2 linked regions of the Styela clava genome follow. The protein of the gene in region 1 binds, or shares a complex with, the protein of each later gene. Links are inferred from orthologs where the notes say so. Each region holds a gene or a part of one and is shown in the gene's direction. Other genes may lie near its edges. The genes, in order: target of rapamycin complex 2 subunit MAPKAP1-like and rapamycin-insensitive companion of mTOR-like.

Region 1 (7,174 bases):
TACTAGGCCTACTACTAATTTGGTTCTACAACACTGGTATAAAAACAGTAGCAAAAATCTTGCTTGTGAATTTGTTGATTTAAATTCAATGAATAATAAAGCAAAGTATTAGATTATATATATATTATATATATAACAGCACTGCTTAACAAAGGTATTGTTATAATCTGTTTTATTCATTTGGATTTTGTGTCACTTATGTATGAACATTTGTTTTTTTTTATCAATAAATGCAAAATTGTTGAAAGCCACTGGTCATACCAACTATTCAATCAGTGTATTTTATTAGTTTTTCTCTATCATGTGTTTGTAAATGCATATATTTCTGTATACTTATCTACAATCTGATAATATACAAACTTGCAAAAAAGGTGAAATGAAAATCGTTCATGTTTTATTCATTTACAATTTTCTTACCTTATGCTGATTTTTGTTTCTCTGTTTCAATTGGATTTTTAATGAAATATTTGTCCAAGGCAAAGTTACAAAATCTCAAATAAGACTTTGATCTAGTAGTCTCTACATTTCCTTACATTTTAACTTACTTCCCTATTGTTCTTGGAGAGTCCACAATTTTTTTTTCTCACTATTGGAAACAAAATTCAACAATTGATGACCATTATTCATGTGCATGCTATCATTATTTTTGTCATTGTTGAAGTATGCTTGTCTGGAAAAGTATGACTTTGGTCAGAAGAAACGCTATAGAAATGCATTCGTCGTAGTGCCGCAGGACTCATGGGGTCACCATGAATATTGTCCATAGCTTGTGTTGGTGAATTGGTTCTTCCATTACTCAGAAAAATGTTGAGACCCTGATTATATGTTCTTACTGAGTTTTGTGTATTCAAATTTTTTTTTTTTCGATTCCCTTATTTTAGAATTCATACTATTTATTGTCTAATTGTGAAACAATTGTCAACAATCTTGTTCATCGACGTCAACTGCAGTGAAGGTCTGTGGAAAATTAACTAGCGTTTGAAATTTCAATGAAGAATTTGTTAGTTCCTACTGCAATGGATGGGTAAGCTATTATTTTCAATTTGTTAATCGAAAATCTTGCACTACTGACCCATGTCCAGATTTCACCAAAGGTTTCTTTCTGTTCTGTTACATCACTCTTATGCATACAAACTGATTATTTATGTTCCCTCCCTGTAATGTCAACATCCATACATCTGCAAGCCTGACATGGATTGTCGAATAATCAAAGAATTACCTTGTGTAATATTATGGTCATCTTTTACTGAGATAGTATGAATATATATCAATTTGTCATCCTTAGCATCTTTGGTGGCACCTTGCTGTTTGGTGCAAAGCTTTCTGGTACATTTCACTGTTAGATGCATGGAATTATATGTATCTTTGAGTATTTGTTCGATTTATTTAAAATTATTATTAATTTTTTTTATTTTAGAGTTCGTATTGAACTGGGAGATATCACACAACACAATATAAAACAATTGAAACTCTTGAATCAAGTTATTTTTCCAGTTTCATACAATGACAAATTTTATAAAGATGTTCTTGATGTTGGAGACTTGGCAAAGCTCGGTAAGATGATGTTTTTTCATTCAAATCACTAATGTCCAAAACTGATAATTTATACCACACAAATTATAAGCGAATTGGCATATTTTGATAGTTAAATTTTCCTTATTTTCATAAGAGACTGAAGTTATATGGCGCGGCGATGTGGCTCATCATGCTAAGTGGTAGGAATACGCTCGCCACTGCACCTCTGCGGCTTCCACCACCATCAAGTCCATGCTTCCGAAAACAAATAAGTAACTAATCCCATACCCGACATGGAATGGTAACCAGACGAGAGGTCGTGGTTCGCCATATATTAAGCCGTCTTATCGGCTTTCCTCTCACCCTGGATAAATATGTAAATCCCATCCTATCCTTATATTACACTTGAAAATCTGTGTATTTGGCATTTGAAAATACTGTTTTTCAGCATTTTTCAATGATATAGTGGTTGGTGCAGTATGTTGTCGAATAGATAATTCAAAAGGAAAAAGGAGATTATACATAATGACGCTTGGTTGCTTAGCACCTTACAGAAGACATGGTGTTGGTACAGTATTGCTCAACCATGTCTTCAAAATATGTGAAGCTGATAAAAATATTACAGCAATATTTTTGTGAGTATTTTATTTCCTGTTGTTTAGAAACAAATGTGTATTCTCAAAGGTTTGGGCTGTTTATTTTTTTTTCAAGAATACCTCGTTAATTTTGGAGAATTCTAGTTTAATATTATCAACTATTCAACCTATTCCACACTTTCAATAATGCTCCTCATGCCAAGACTATTCTAACCTTGAATATGAATTCATGACATTTTTTGTTTCAAGCGCTTCTACTAACTCCTGTTTATGATTATTATTTTCAGACACGTTCAAGTCAATAATCAATCTGCTCTGGATTTCTACATGAAATTCGGTTTCGAAATTGTTCAAACTGAAAGCCATTATTACAAAAGAATAGAGCCTTCCGATGCCTATGTATTAGAAAAAAAGCTTGAGAACTGTGCTGGAGCTACATTCAATGGGAAGCCTTGATTCCATTCAGATTGCTCAGCACTTTTCATTTGATTTATGTTCCAACTCCAGTGGTTTGGTTGAAGCTCTTCCATGCATGTTACAACAGTCTTAAATATAAAAATATTTAGTTTTATAAAAACAATGCCTTCAGTTTTGGTGTGTCGTATCTATTTAGAAAATTTTTGTCAGTACGTATGCAGCTCTGTGCATGCCAGGGAGTGTTCTCATCATTGAGTTACATTTCATTCTTGGCTATTGCTATGTAAACTGTGTTGACAAACTGAAAATACATTAGCAATTGGCTTTTAAACAAAATTCCTAAATTAGGACATGCTAAAATCTCTTGTTATATGAAAAATTTTATCTTCAATGGTGCAGTGTACAAGTTTTACAAAGTGTGAGAAAGAAAAATGCCTTGAATAATAAAATGTTTGTTCTATTCTGTATGTGTGAAAATCCCATTCTAGAAAAGTCATTTTTATTTGAACAACCCCTGCTGTTCATCTTTTCCAGTCAGCATTCCAAAGACATTTATGGGTCAATTGGGGTTGGGTATCAATTGTAATGGCATGGGACAAAATATTTCATTCATATTCACTCCTATAAACGTCTGTGTTTGAGTACAAGCCTAATTATGATTGGTCAAATGCAAGCAAAAAAGATTTTTACATAGAACTTGAGTGTTTATAATATTTTAAAATCACATTGAAGGATTCTTGTTGGCCAAGGCCTAGATGCTAATGATCTTCAGTTATATTCACTTGTTGGACACGTAGTGGACATAACAATCGTTTCAAAATTTTGTTGTTATTGTTATTATTTGTCTCCGTTAACACGTTTTGAAGAAATCGCTTTTCTCTTCGAATATTGGACCAATTGCTTTGAAATTTTCAGTGGTTGAAGATGAAAAATTACTCCAGAAGGCTATTACTTTTTTTTTCGCTATGACGTCATCCAAATTATGTGTCCATATATTTGAGCATAGCTCTCTTGTTTTATAAGTGTCGTCACAGTGTCACTAATTCATAGGTCTATATGAATATATACATTTTCGTGAGAACTCATGTGGGAATTGATAGTGTGCCTTGAAAGGTTTCATATTGAGTTTAATGCTTGACCCTGCTTGCAAGACGTATAGGTAATTGTGCACTGTACTCGCTTGTATTGAGCCCAGTGTTTGTTTGAACTTGGAACGGACTAAATATTTTATTTTTCTTGTATTTTAAAGTGAATCGCTTCAAATAAACGTCCTTGGAATTACAGCTTGGTTTATTTAGCGTTGACAGTGAGATACAAAAAATTGGATGTGTTTTTCGCATATTAGTAGTATATATTTACGATTAAAACAGCTTGAACGGTAGAGCGAAAAGGCCGCTAAATGGTGGGAAAGGAAAACGGCGGTAAATCCTAAAGAGTAACAATTCCACCAGATTTTAACTGCCGGTCGTTTATTGATATTGGTGAATGTAAGCAATTGTCAACTTCAATAATTAAAGCGAATAGGGGCTTTCATATTTGGCTAAAAGAAAGGGAAGGATGGAAACAGTTTAATGGTTTCATCACAGGCGGGTAGTCGCGCACGGTTTGAAATGTTATGACTCCTAATACAGTATATGGAGACTCGATGCACCTCTGGGAAAACCGCGGTGTTGTCAGTCTGGCTTCGAAGACTAAAAGACACTGAAATAAGAAAATTACGCGAGTGCGAACCGGCGAGAGAGTTCATGAGTTTGGGTTTGCTTGTGCTCTTTTTGATTTTCTATTCATTAGCGACGCGGGAAAATTCTTGATGAGATAACAAATGCTGGTATTTATTTTACCAAAGCATGGCGATGTTAGACAATCCAGACTGGCTCTTGGATCACATTCGCCATTCCTTCATTACAAGCGATGACACAGGAATGTGCGAAATGGTTCTTCAGGACAACGATATGATGACACTGTCACAACACAGGTTGAGAATTAAAGAGTTAAAAGAAGCTAAGCGCATTGAAAGGGCGAAAAAGAATCAAGTAAGTTTAAATTTTCTAGTAAATTCAAACAATAAAAATTTCTGAAATTGATGTCTCTTCGTTCAGACGTTCTGGTATTATTGCAAATTTAGCTTTTGATTTCTTATGAACAGTCATTGTTGAGGTAGGGGAACAGCTGTTTTATTTGATAGGTATCCTATTTCTGTATTTATCTTGAGTACGGTATCTTAACTTCTGAACTTGTATTTATGATAAAATAAATGCAATAATGGCTTAGTTCATCTGGATCTATATGATAAATATTGTGTCATTTCGCTTATTTCTGTTTTTTTAGTAAGTTTCAAAATAATATCTTAACATAGTATATTTTGTATAGTGGGTCAAACGCTAAAGACATAGAAACTCGTTGTTGTGTATGGTCCAGTATGGAATGAAGGATTGATTGACAAAAGACCCAATAATAATAATACAAGATATTTACAGAATATCATTGATATTCCAGAAAAAAGGTTTACCTGAATCATTTGGAAGATCAACACCTGTTGGATCTCCTCGAAGAACACCATCAGAATCGTCAACTACTTCATCTTCTAATCCTGTTATCGATGCTGATTCATCTGAAGCACTTTCTCCTCTTGCTCCATCACCTGATATTCTTTCTGGTTTGAAATTTTTCATGAGGCTTTTTTACCTTCATGAGCTACTACTGATACATGAGGAAGTACTATATGTTGAAGGACAGAATTGTTTTCATTGTATAGAGGGTTTTGATGGCCCAGTCTGGATTTCATGGCCTTTTTGAACGAGAAATCGGCTGTGCAATCAGAAATTCTCACGTGCAAATCTGAATTCCCGGCTTGCAATTATAGCTCACAGCGTGCAAAACAACTGTGCCCGCGTGCAATGATTTTCGACTTTAGATACTGTTCAGTACATCCCCGTAAAGTTATTGGATAGAAAATATGTTGAATCAGAACAAAATGGACATTCGACCTTTGACCCCGAATATTATTACTATACTTCGTCACTAATTTTGAGAGTGTTTGTGCAACTTTAGATAGACTTTAGGTACATCCGTGTAAAATTATTGTATAAAAAATATGTAGAATCAGAGCCGTAACTGACCAGCGCCGGCAAGTCTGGCGATCTTTTCGTCCATAACTATTCTCACGGGATTCCTATCATTCAACACGATACGCCATACCGCTAAGCAATTTTGTAATACGGTCTTTATTGCTTCGCATTTTTCGATCAGGCGAAATCTTGCAAGCTAGTATATAGTCGACAATTGTGGAGCTACAATTTGTTGGCATCTTTATATTACTGGATTATTAATTTAAAAGCCATTTAAATCAATTTTCATTGGTGAGCAATTGCAACTTTTCGGCGTGCAAAATTTAATTTGCTGGCGTGCATTTTTGCGGAGTGCTAGCGCCCTCTGGTGTGCACCTGCCATGGAATCCAGTATGGTTGATGGCCAAATCTGATAAATGGTTATAGATGATACTACTGGTGTTGAAAGCATTTTTTTCCAAATAGGCGATTTCACTTTTAATCTGTCGCAACAAAAGAACATGGTAGTATAGATCAATATGATACGTATGGAGGCTAAATATAAACAAGCTATAACTTTCTTATTTTCACCTTATCTGAACAAATTTTTTTTCGATATTTAGTTTTGCCTGTATACCTAGTTATTGTTTTGTCAACTGTTATTTTTGTCATACCACAGAAATTTAATAATTGAAACATTTATAAATATAACTAATTGGACAAAAATATTATTTGTTCCATTATAAACGATTATGTTAGTAATAGTCAAATATGATACAGCAGTATTTTTCAATAATCATTGTATCTGGAAGTTGAACCTACATATTCTGTACATCTACAAAATCCTAAAAATCCATCATTTTTACGATTGGTTTTGCATTTTAACCGAGTTGATGCACGGCATGAAAGCTAAACAAATGTATTATTCTACAGGTTGGGATTTTGGGGTTCGTAGACGATCAAACACCGCTCAGAAACTTGAGAGAATTCGTAAAGAGAGACAAAGTAGAGTCAAAGTAAACAATGTGCCTTGGAGAAAAAAGAACCCAAAGATAACCGAGGTATACTTTAGATTTCTATGGCGCTTGAGGCATAGAGGCAATTCAATATCAATTCTATTTATGAATTTATTTGTGCTTTGCAATAATAGGTTGGTTGGTTGGTTAATCAGTCGAGAATAGTAAAATATTTGTGAAATTTCAATTAACATTTTCTGTAAAGTATAGAATAGCCATCTATTTATAAACCATTTTGAAATTACTATAGCACAATAGCTCTCTTTACATCAGGGTTTCCCAAACCACGCAATGGCTTCACCAAGGGTCCATGACGATATGAAAAGAATGTGATCGATCTTTAATGATTGATTGCAATGCGTCCTTTGGTTGAGCATTGCCGATGAATGCCTGAATCCATTTCTGTCAGGAAAGACAATTAAAATTTTATTGCCTCTTGCAAAAACATACTCGTATTAGGCAGCATTTCCAGCTCTCACCAATATGATGACAAATACAGGAAACTTTGATTTACATGATAAACTCAATATTTCTATCATCCACCATCATTTGATGTTTATTATTTCTGTATCATTTCTATCCT
Region 2 (7,373 bases), on another chromosome or scaffold:
TCGAAGCAGGCTCGAACACCATTCGTGCTATGCCTTGAAAGCAACACACATCCGCTCGTTTTCGTCTCGTCAAGTATGTGCATTGGAGCGTGCTATCGAATACGATCTTCGGCCAAAAATGCCGGAGTTGCGCATCATATTGGTCTGAGTTACTCTGCGATATGTCCTCAATTAAGAAAGGAAAATACGAAGATGAAAACAGAGTTGTCAAGTCAGGGTGGGAAGAAGAAAGAATACGCTTTTACCAGTCAGGAGAATTAACTCTTGTGGTTAATCTGCCATAAGCTACTAAGTCAGAATAATTAGAATAAAGTCAGCAATGTTAAACGGCACCATGGAACGAATCATGAAAACTTCTTACGAGACTACCCTCGTAAATCAGCAATAAGGAAACACAAATTAAATGAGCTCAAATTGTGCATATATTTGAGCATAGCTGCCTTATTTATCTATTTATTGTTATAAGACTCTTGTGTAAATTTCTTTTCTGTTCATGGTATTTTAATAATATTAATAAATTCACAAATTTTGCGGCTCATTTAAAGTTCTGATTTGCAGCATGCGGCTCTTATACTAAAAAATTGTGCCCACCCCTGCCATATATAGTCGCACGATATATATTATTAAGCATGCCCATGACCGGATTCTCTATTAAATTGACCCATTGAAATATCGGTCGTGCATAAATCACGACAAAACACCGATTTGGCAATTGGCAACTTTATTTAAATTACTTTCGTTAAATTCACGAAACGGAACTCATTTGCAACAATGATTGTTGTTATTTATCGCTGGTTATATATTTTTATATTTACGCAATATTTCTCGACTGCTCACAATTTTTCTATTTTGACCCATGTTGCCGCTCCGAATGGAGTAATTTGAAATCGTCAAATCGAATGAATATGCTTTTCGTTAATTGCCATTTTCAATAAAATTTAATTGAATCACATTTCCAACACTTGACGCCATGAATTTACGATCAACAAAAAACTGTTGATGCTTTTATTTTAGCCGACATTGATCCAATCGAACAGAATATCGTTATTACTTTCAAATCTACGCCAACTCGTCAGCGCCCGAATGTCTGGCATCAAATCTGTAACGGCGACGCAACATGACGTCGTCTTCGAAGTTCAGCGTGTGCGTCAGATGCTATTATTGTGATAAAAAAATTAATCGAATTTCAATTATTTATCGGTTCTCCTACGACATCTCGCGATCAGTCTAATTTCTATATACATTGATAACGCCCTCTATCGAATGTCGGTATTTTGACGAAGTTCATCAGTAGAAGTCACCATTTTGGGTGCATTTGAGCCGCTAGAAAACGGAGTGTCAATATTAGGATAGGATGCTACAACGCGATTTTTTTAATCAAAAAATAAATTAAACTGCGCGATCGAATATGATAACAGATTTAGATATATAAGGACTCACTATAGAAACTGCCAGAAGCACAATACCGGTATGGCGCAATTTAGTCGAGATATACCGTAAACGATTGAAAATTTGGGGGTCTAGTACCGTAAAACCGGCTAACTTCGGATGGTTTCACTATACTTCAATCAATATCTCTGCCGTTTGTTGTCCAATTAGCGTCATATTTGGAATATATTACATTGATGCAATCTCTACACATGCATTTAATTTTCTCGCCGATCGGATCATTTTTTCTGTCTTAATTGTCTCATTTTTCACTACACCACTAAATATCTAACTTCGGATGGGGGAATCACCTCCGTGCGTGACCGCAACTCGAGCGAAAATTGCGTGGCGAAGACAAAACACGCTTTACGTGGTTGCGAAAATTCCAGATGTTCAATCCACGTCGCGAGTGGCGGTGATAATGATGACCGTAGGATTTTTGGTGCGGCACTTTCAAGTTGTTTTTATAATAAAATGTCTAGTTTCATTTTCTCTTATCGTACTACCGATCATAGCCGATTTTGCAATAGCCGATAATGTTTGGATAGCGTTTGTATATTCCAGATCGTATATAGTCGCACGATAAATATTATTGAGCATGCATATGACTGGATTCTTTACTAAATTGACCTATTAAAATGTCCGCCGTGCATAAATCACGACAAAACACCGATTTGGCAAATATTACTTTAGTTAAATTCATTAAACGGAACTCACTTGCAAGTGTTGCAACAATGATTCTTGTTATTTATCGCTGATTATATATTTTTATATTCACGCAACATTTCTTGACTGCTTACAATTTTTCTATTTTAAACCATGCTGCCGTTCCAAATGGTGGAATTTGAATCGACAAATCGAACGAAAATATTTTTCGTTAATTGCCGTTTTAATAAATTAAATTACATTTCCAACATTTGACGGCATGAATTTAAGATCCACAGGAAACTGTTGATGTGTATATTTTAGCCGATATTGATCCAACCGAACAAAATATCGCTGTCATTTCAAATATACGCCAACTCGTCGGCGCCCTAATGTCTGGCGTCAAATCTGTAACGGCGACGCAACATGACGTCGTCTTCGAAGCGAGCGACGTCAGGGTGACGTCGGTTCAATGTGTGCGTCAAATGCTATTATTTTGATGTAAAAAGACAATTTGAATTTTAATCGTTTCTCGAGTCTCCTGCGACATCTCGCGATCAGTCTAATTTTGTAATACATTGGTAACGCCCTCTATCGAATGACGGTGTTTTGACCAAGTTAGCGCAGTTAGAAGTCACGATTTGAGCCGCTCGAAAACGGAGTGTAAATTTTTTGCTAAAACGTGATTTTTCAATCAAATAATAAATAAAATTGCGCGATTGATCATGATAACAGATTCAGATATATAAGGACTCTCTAGAGAAACTACCAGAAGCACAATATGACGCAAAGTTACAAGGCATCCGAAGTTAGCCGGTTTTACGGTACCGTACCGGTATAGTTTAGGGGTCTGGTATAGTTTAGTACCACACGTACTTCTCTACTTCTAGTTGACCTGGCTCAACAATTTTTGCATATGTCAATCCTAACCCCCACCTAACTACGTCACCGAAAAACGTCATTTCGACGTCACAGTGGCGCAATAAGGCCCACCTAAGTATGCGGATGATCGTGTTGGTGAGGTCGTAGACTCGTAGTGACCTAATTTTTGGATGGCATAGTCAGGTGGGGGTTAGGAATAGCATATGCAAAATTATTGCTACGCCCACGGGAAGTACTTGTGGTACTAAACTATACTAGACCCCAATTTTTATAGTTTGAAGGGCCTTAAGTATAAGTATAAGTTTATTTCGACTCCATAATCAGCAATAGACGATAAAATAATAGATAAAAACAATTATGCCTTATTACCTGACTGTGACTTAATTTTTAAATGAAGCTGTCAGGTGGGAGTTAGGATTGACATATGCATATGGGCTTGGCGGTGTGCCGGTGTGGCGCTTCATGCTAAGCGTTAGGAATACGCTCGCCACTGCATCTATGATTACCCTTTGTGGGTTCGCAGGTTTGAATCCCATGCGGGGATGATCATGTGCGAGAGGATTGCTGGACTCCTCGTCGCCGTGGGGTGGTTCATGTAACCGCTGGTCGGTTACGGCTTCCTCCACCATCAAGTCCATGCTTCCGGAAACAAACAAATTACTAACTGATCCCATACCCGACATGGAATACTGGAATAGTAATCAGACGAGAGGTCGTGGCTCGCCATATGGTTAAGCCGTCTTATCGACTTTTCTCTGGCACGGGATAAATATGTAAATCCTATCCTATCCTTGTTATGCAACGCCCGCTAGAACAGAAGTACCGGCACTTGAGGTACGAAACTACACTAGATTCTGGTTTAGTTTGCTCTCCCGATTCTAGACTATAATCAGTTTTATATATTTTTGTTTTATCTAAAATTTTTAATTTATCGTCTATTATGCTGGTTATCGAGTCGAAATAAACTTATATTTATAATAATACTGTCCAATCCTGTTTTAAGATTGTGACTTCAGCATCTGATTACTGGATTAGGTTTGAAGTAAATCTAATTTTATTTAATATAGTACCAAGTACTATAACGTAAGATTTATTTTTCCTAAATCACTTACAGATTTATTTCAATATGTATAGTTTCGTGTAAATATCAAAATGAGTGGCTCAAGATATAGAAGCTTTCAATCAAGAAACGGAACTAGACGTATTCGTGAAAATGCTGGAGATACCATCCCTTTGGATATCACACAGGATCCTTATTTATTGCTTATGACAATTTTTCGAAGTATTCAAAGCAGAGGAAGCACTGCAAAAACTCTGCCACATTTGAACAATTTGATCAAAATACTATGCAATCGTGAAGACGCGACTTCTAAATTTTTAATTGAAGATATTATGATTTGTCTAAAACCAGCATTGGTTTCTGAAGTAAAGGAAGTTCGAGCAGCGTGCATTCGAGCTTTACGTTATTTAGTTAATGATGCACATTCAGTAATACTTTTGACAAAACTTCATTTGGATAGTTTTATAATAAAATGTCTAGACATAAGTCATTTCAATGAAGTCGAGAGAATTCAATGTTTGCGTCTAATTCGAAAGATTCTTCTCATTGCAAGAATCGAACGCAGAGAAGCTGGAGAAAAAACGAAAATGTCAATCATTCCTAAATCATTTGCTTTATGTATTATGTCAATTTCTGCTGATGGAGCTGTGGAAAGAGATCGTGTCTATAGAACCTGTCTTGCGATTTTATGTGAACTTGTTGTTTTAGAACCTTCATTAGTCATTGAAAATGGTGGACTACTTGTAATGCTACGTGCAGTTCTTGAATGCCATATGTACAGAAGGATTAACGAGTCATTGTGTATAAGCCTTGGATTAATGCTTAATCATCCATCCTCACGGAACCTACTGAAATTGACATTCAGTTTTAATGCGATATTTGCTCCTTATACTGACGTAATGTACCGTCTACATGCTGATGTGGAAGAATCACAAATAAGAGAAGAAAAAGAAATGAGGTTTTCCGCTTCAAAGATGGCGGTTGTTTCTGTTCTTCGTTCATGGTCTGGTCTACTTCACCTTTGTCAAACTTCTGCGATAAAATCTTTTTTAAGTACTTTGCTGATTCCTGATGCAGGTATTAAACGTGCTACTTTGTCTGTATTATTTGAAATCTTCTGCTTAAATGAACCTAAAGCTTCAGAAGATTTTATTGAATCACTTCTAAGCATTGGTCCCAGAATCTTTCAGGAAAGCTGGCAACTTACAAATATTTTTGTTGTTGGTGAAGGAAAATGGTTCCTTCCAAGCTTAAATAATGAACGATTAGACTTGACTAATTGTTATATGGCTGTGCTGCTTTCAATTTTTATTGAAGCCAATATTATACAGCGTTTGGTTTCAGTGGTTATGGGTCCTGATGAATGTGCCTCTATAATTGCTTGTATACTTCTAGGGAAAATTTTAAACCTTTCTGATAAATTACATTCTATGCCACAAACGGCGGAATTATGGATGACTAGTGCTTCATCTGCTTGTAAAGAATGCTTGCCAGATCTAATGAAACAAGCAACTTCACAGAGTGTGAGTAAAGAAGAGCGTTTACGTGCAAGTGTTGCTGTAGGTAGGTTAAGAAAGATACATAATTTTCTTAAAAATCGACCAGCGATGCATACAGTATATTTAGATGAGTTATTGCTTCGGGTCAAAGCTGCTGAAAAAGCATCAACAGAGGCAACCCAAGTGGAATCACCAGTTAGGCCTGGCTCTTCTATATCGCTGCGACGCCTCACTGTAAACCATGTTGAAGACTCGGATGAGCCCATGACAACATTATCAATTCGTAGAAACAGATCCCTTACAATTGTGCGTAACTTCGCTAGCGAACAGACATCCACAAGAATAAAAGACACACAAGTCATTGCAGAAAGGGACTTTACTAAGTGGGATTGGGAAGCAATAACATCATTTCTTGTTGAAGGGTGGTCTAAAAGGATGGTTAACACAAGAGAATCTCATTATATTGGCTCTGATGATACAGAATACCATTTTATCAAACGACTTGTTACTTTTTATATTCCGAGTGATGGAGAATTCTACAAAGTTGATAGAGCAAGAGAGGGCGAGGGAGATAAACCTCATGTGCAGTCAGGTTGCCATTTGGTGAGATATTTATCAACTACAGCTGGAGAGGGAATGAAACTATTATCTGTTTTGTTGAAAAGCATCGTCGAATATTTGGCAAAACTTATAAAAGATACAGACGGTATGAAAAAGGCAACAAGCACTTTTTTATCAAGTTGTGCAAGGGACTATTTTCTCTTGCTCGGAGCATTAACAGTTTGGCGCCATGGTAGTGAAATTTTGCGCAAGAATGGAGTGTTTGATTTTTTTACGTCACTCGCAAATGATGAAATTCATGAAAATTTATTAAAACTTGTAATATCAAGTTTATCTTTTTCTGGGGAAAGTCTGAGTTATTTTTTCTTGAAGCAAGTTCTTGTAACTTGTAATGAAGCAGCAAGATTGTATGCAACTTGCTATTTACGAATATTACTTAGAGCTAAAATGCCTGGATTTATCAATTGGGGGGTTCATTTACTAATAACACAACTTTATGACTCGAGCCAAACTGTTGCCACTGAGGCACTTGATGTTCTTGATGAGGCTTGTGCTGATCATGAATACTTGAACGTTGTTGTTGGTCTTCGTCCCGGTTTGCTACATCTTGGTGAAAAAGGAGCGCTGCTAATTTGTCGTTTTGCGTCTCATCCGCTGGGTTTTGAGTATCTTTCTGCAAATAAATATCTGTTGAGAGAGTTGGACCGATGGTGGGATTCTGCCAATGATCTCTATGTATCAAGAGTAGAAGAACTGTTGAATATCTCACTAACATGCTATGAAAAACCTACTCAACAAGGTGGGTTTGTGCGACGATCAGGAATTAAGAAAGTTGTCCAGCCTGTTCATGTTCCTTCACATTTATATGGAGAGTTGAGCCAACATGAAAGAGGATGCGAATTACTTGAAAAAAGGAATATTGTTCCAAGATTAGTTCAAAAATTACAGGATGGTTTGCACATCCATGAAGCCTTTTGTGGAGATGTAGATAACTTTGAATTTAATTTATCTTCTTACCAAAAGATAGCCGAACACTTGGTTCAAATAAAAAGCAGTTTATGGGCCTTGTGCCATATTGGCAGCAGCAGAATCGGACTTGAACTCATAAAAGATCTTGGTGTGTTGGAGGTTTTACAAGATCTTGCGGAACATTCTCCTGTGTATTCAATTCGTGGGACATGTTTTTATTGTATGTCTGTGCTTTCTCAAACTGTTGCTGGCACAGAAGAGCTAAAAAAATTAGGATGGCTGAGTACGCTTAAAAAAGTTTGGTCTGGATCAAATCCAAGCGAATCTGA

The links.
Region 2: the proteins of target of rapamycin complex 2 subunit MAPKAP1-like (region 1) and rapamycin-insensitive companion of mTOR-like are in contact, whole or in part, in a cryo-EM structure (PDB 7PE7), measured with the Homo sapiens proteins. The link is inferred for Styela clava from reciprocal best matches to the Homo sapiens genes MAPKAP1 and RICTOR. Residues at the interface, in NP_001006618.1 of Homo sapiens: Ala2, Phe3, Leu4, Asp5, Asn6, Pro7, Ile9, Ile10, Leu11, Ala12, His13, Ile14, Arg15, Gln16, Ser17, His18, Thr20, Ser21, Asp22, Asp23, Thr24, Met26, Cys27, Met29, Val30, Leu31, Ile32, Asp35, Val36, Ser84; in NP_689969.2 of Homo sapiens: Arg108, Gln137, Glu140, Thr144, Leu147, Arg148, Arg151, Lys152, Thr155, Arg182, Met183, Arg185, Ala186, Ala189, Cys192, Glu193, Leu196, Leu220, Arg222, Ile223, Glu225, Ala226, Leu227, Thr229, Thr230, His233, Asn236, Arg293, Trp295, Glu844.

What each region holds. Positions count from the first base shown.
Region 1 is NC_135251.1:20,789,011-20,796,184, forward strand, and holds the start of target of rapamycin complex 2 subunit MAPKAP1-like, read left to right. Parts: upstream 1-4,024; 5' UTR 4,025-4,375; coding exon 4,376-4,561; intron 4,562-5,024; coding exon 5,025-5,184; intron 5,185-6,508; coding exon 6,509-6,636; intron 6,637-7,174. Other genes in the region: N-alpha-acetyltransferase 50-like, read left to right, coding at 990-1,024, 1,418-1,554, 1,964-2,150, 2,399-2,567. UniProt on the Homo sapiens protein: Component of the mechanistic target of rapamycin complex 2 (mTORC2), which transduces signals from growth factors to pathways involved in proliferation, cytoskeletal organization, lipogenesis and anabolic output.
Region 2 is NC_135255.1:15,845,976-15,853,348, reverse strand, and holds the start of rapamycin-insensitive companion of mTOR-like, read left to right. Parts: upstream 1-4,073; 5' UTR 4,074-4,107; coding exon 4,108-7,373. UniProt on the Homo sapiens protein: Component of the mechanistic target of rapamycin complex 2 (mTORC2), which transduces signals from growth factors to pathways involved in proliferation, cytoskeletal organization, lipogenesis and anabolic output.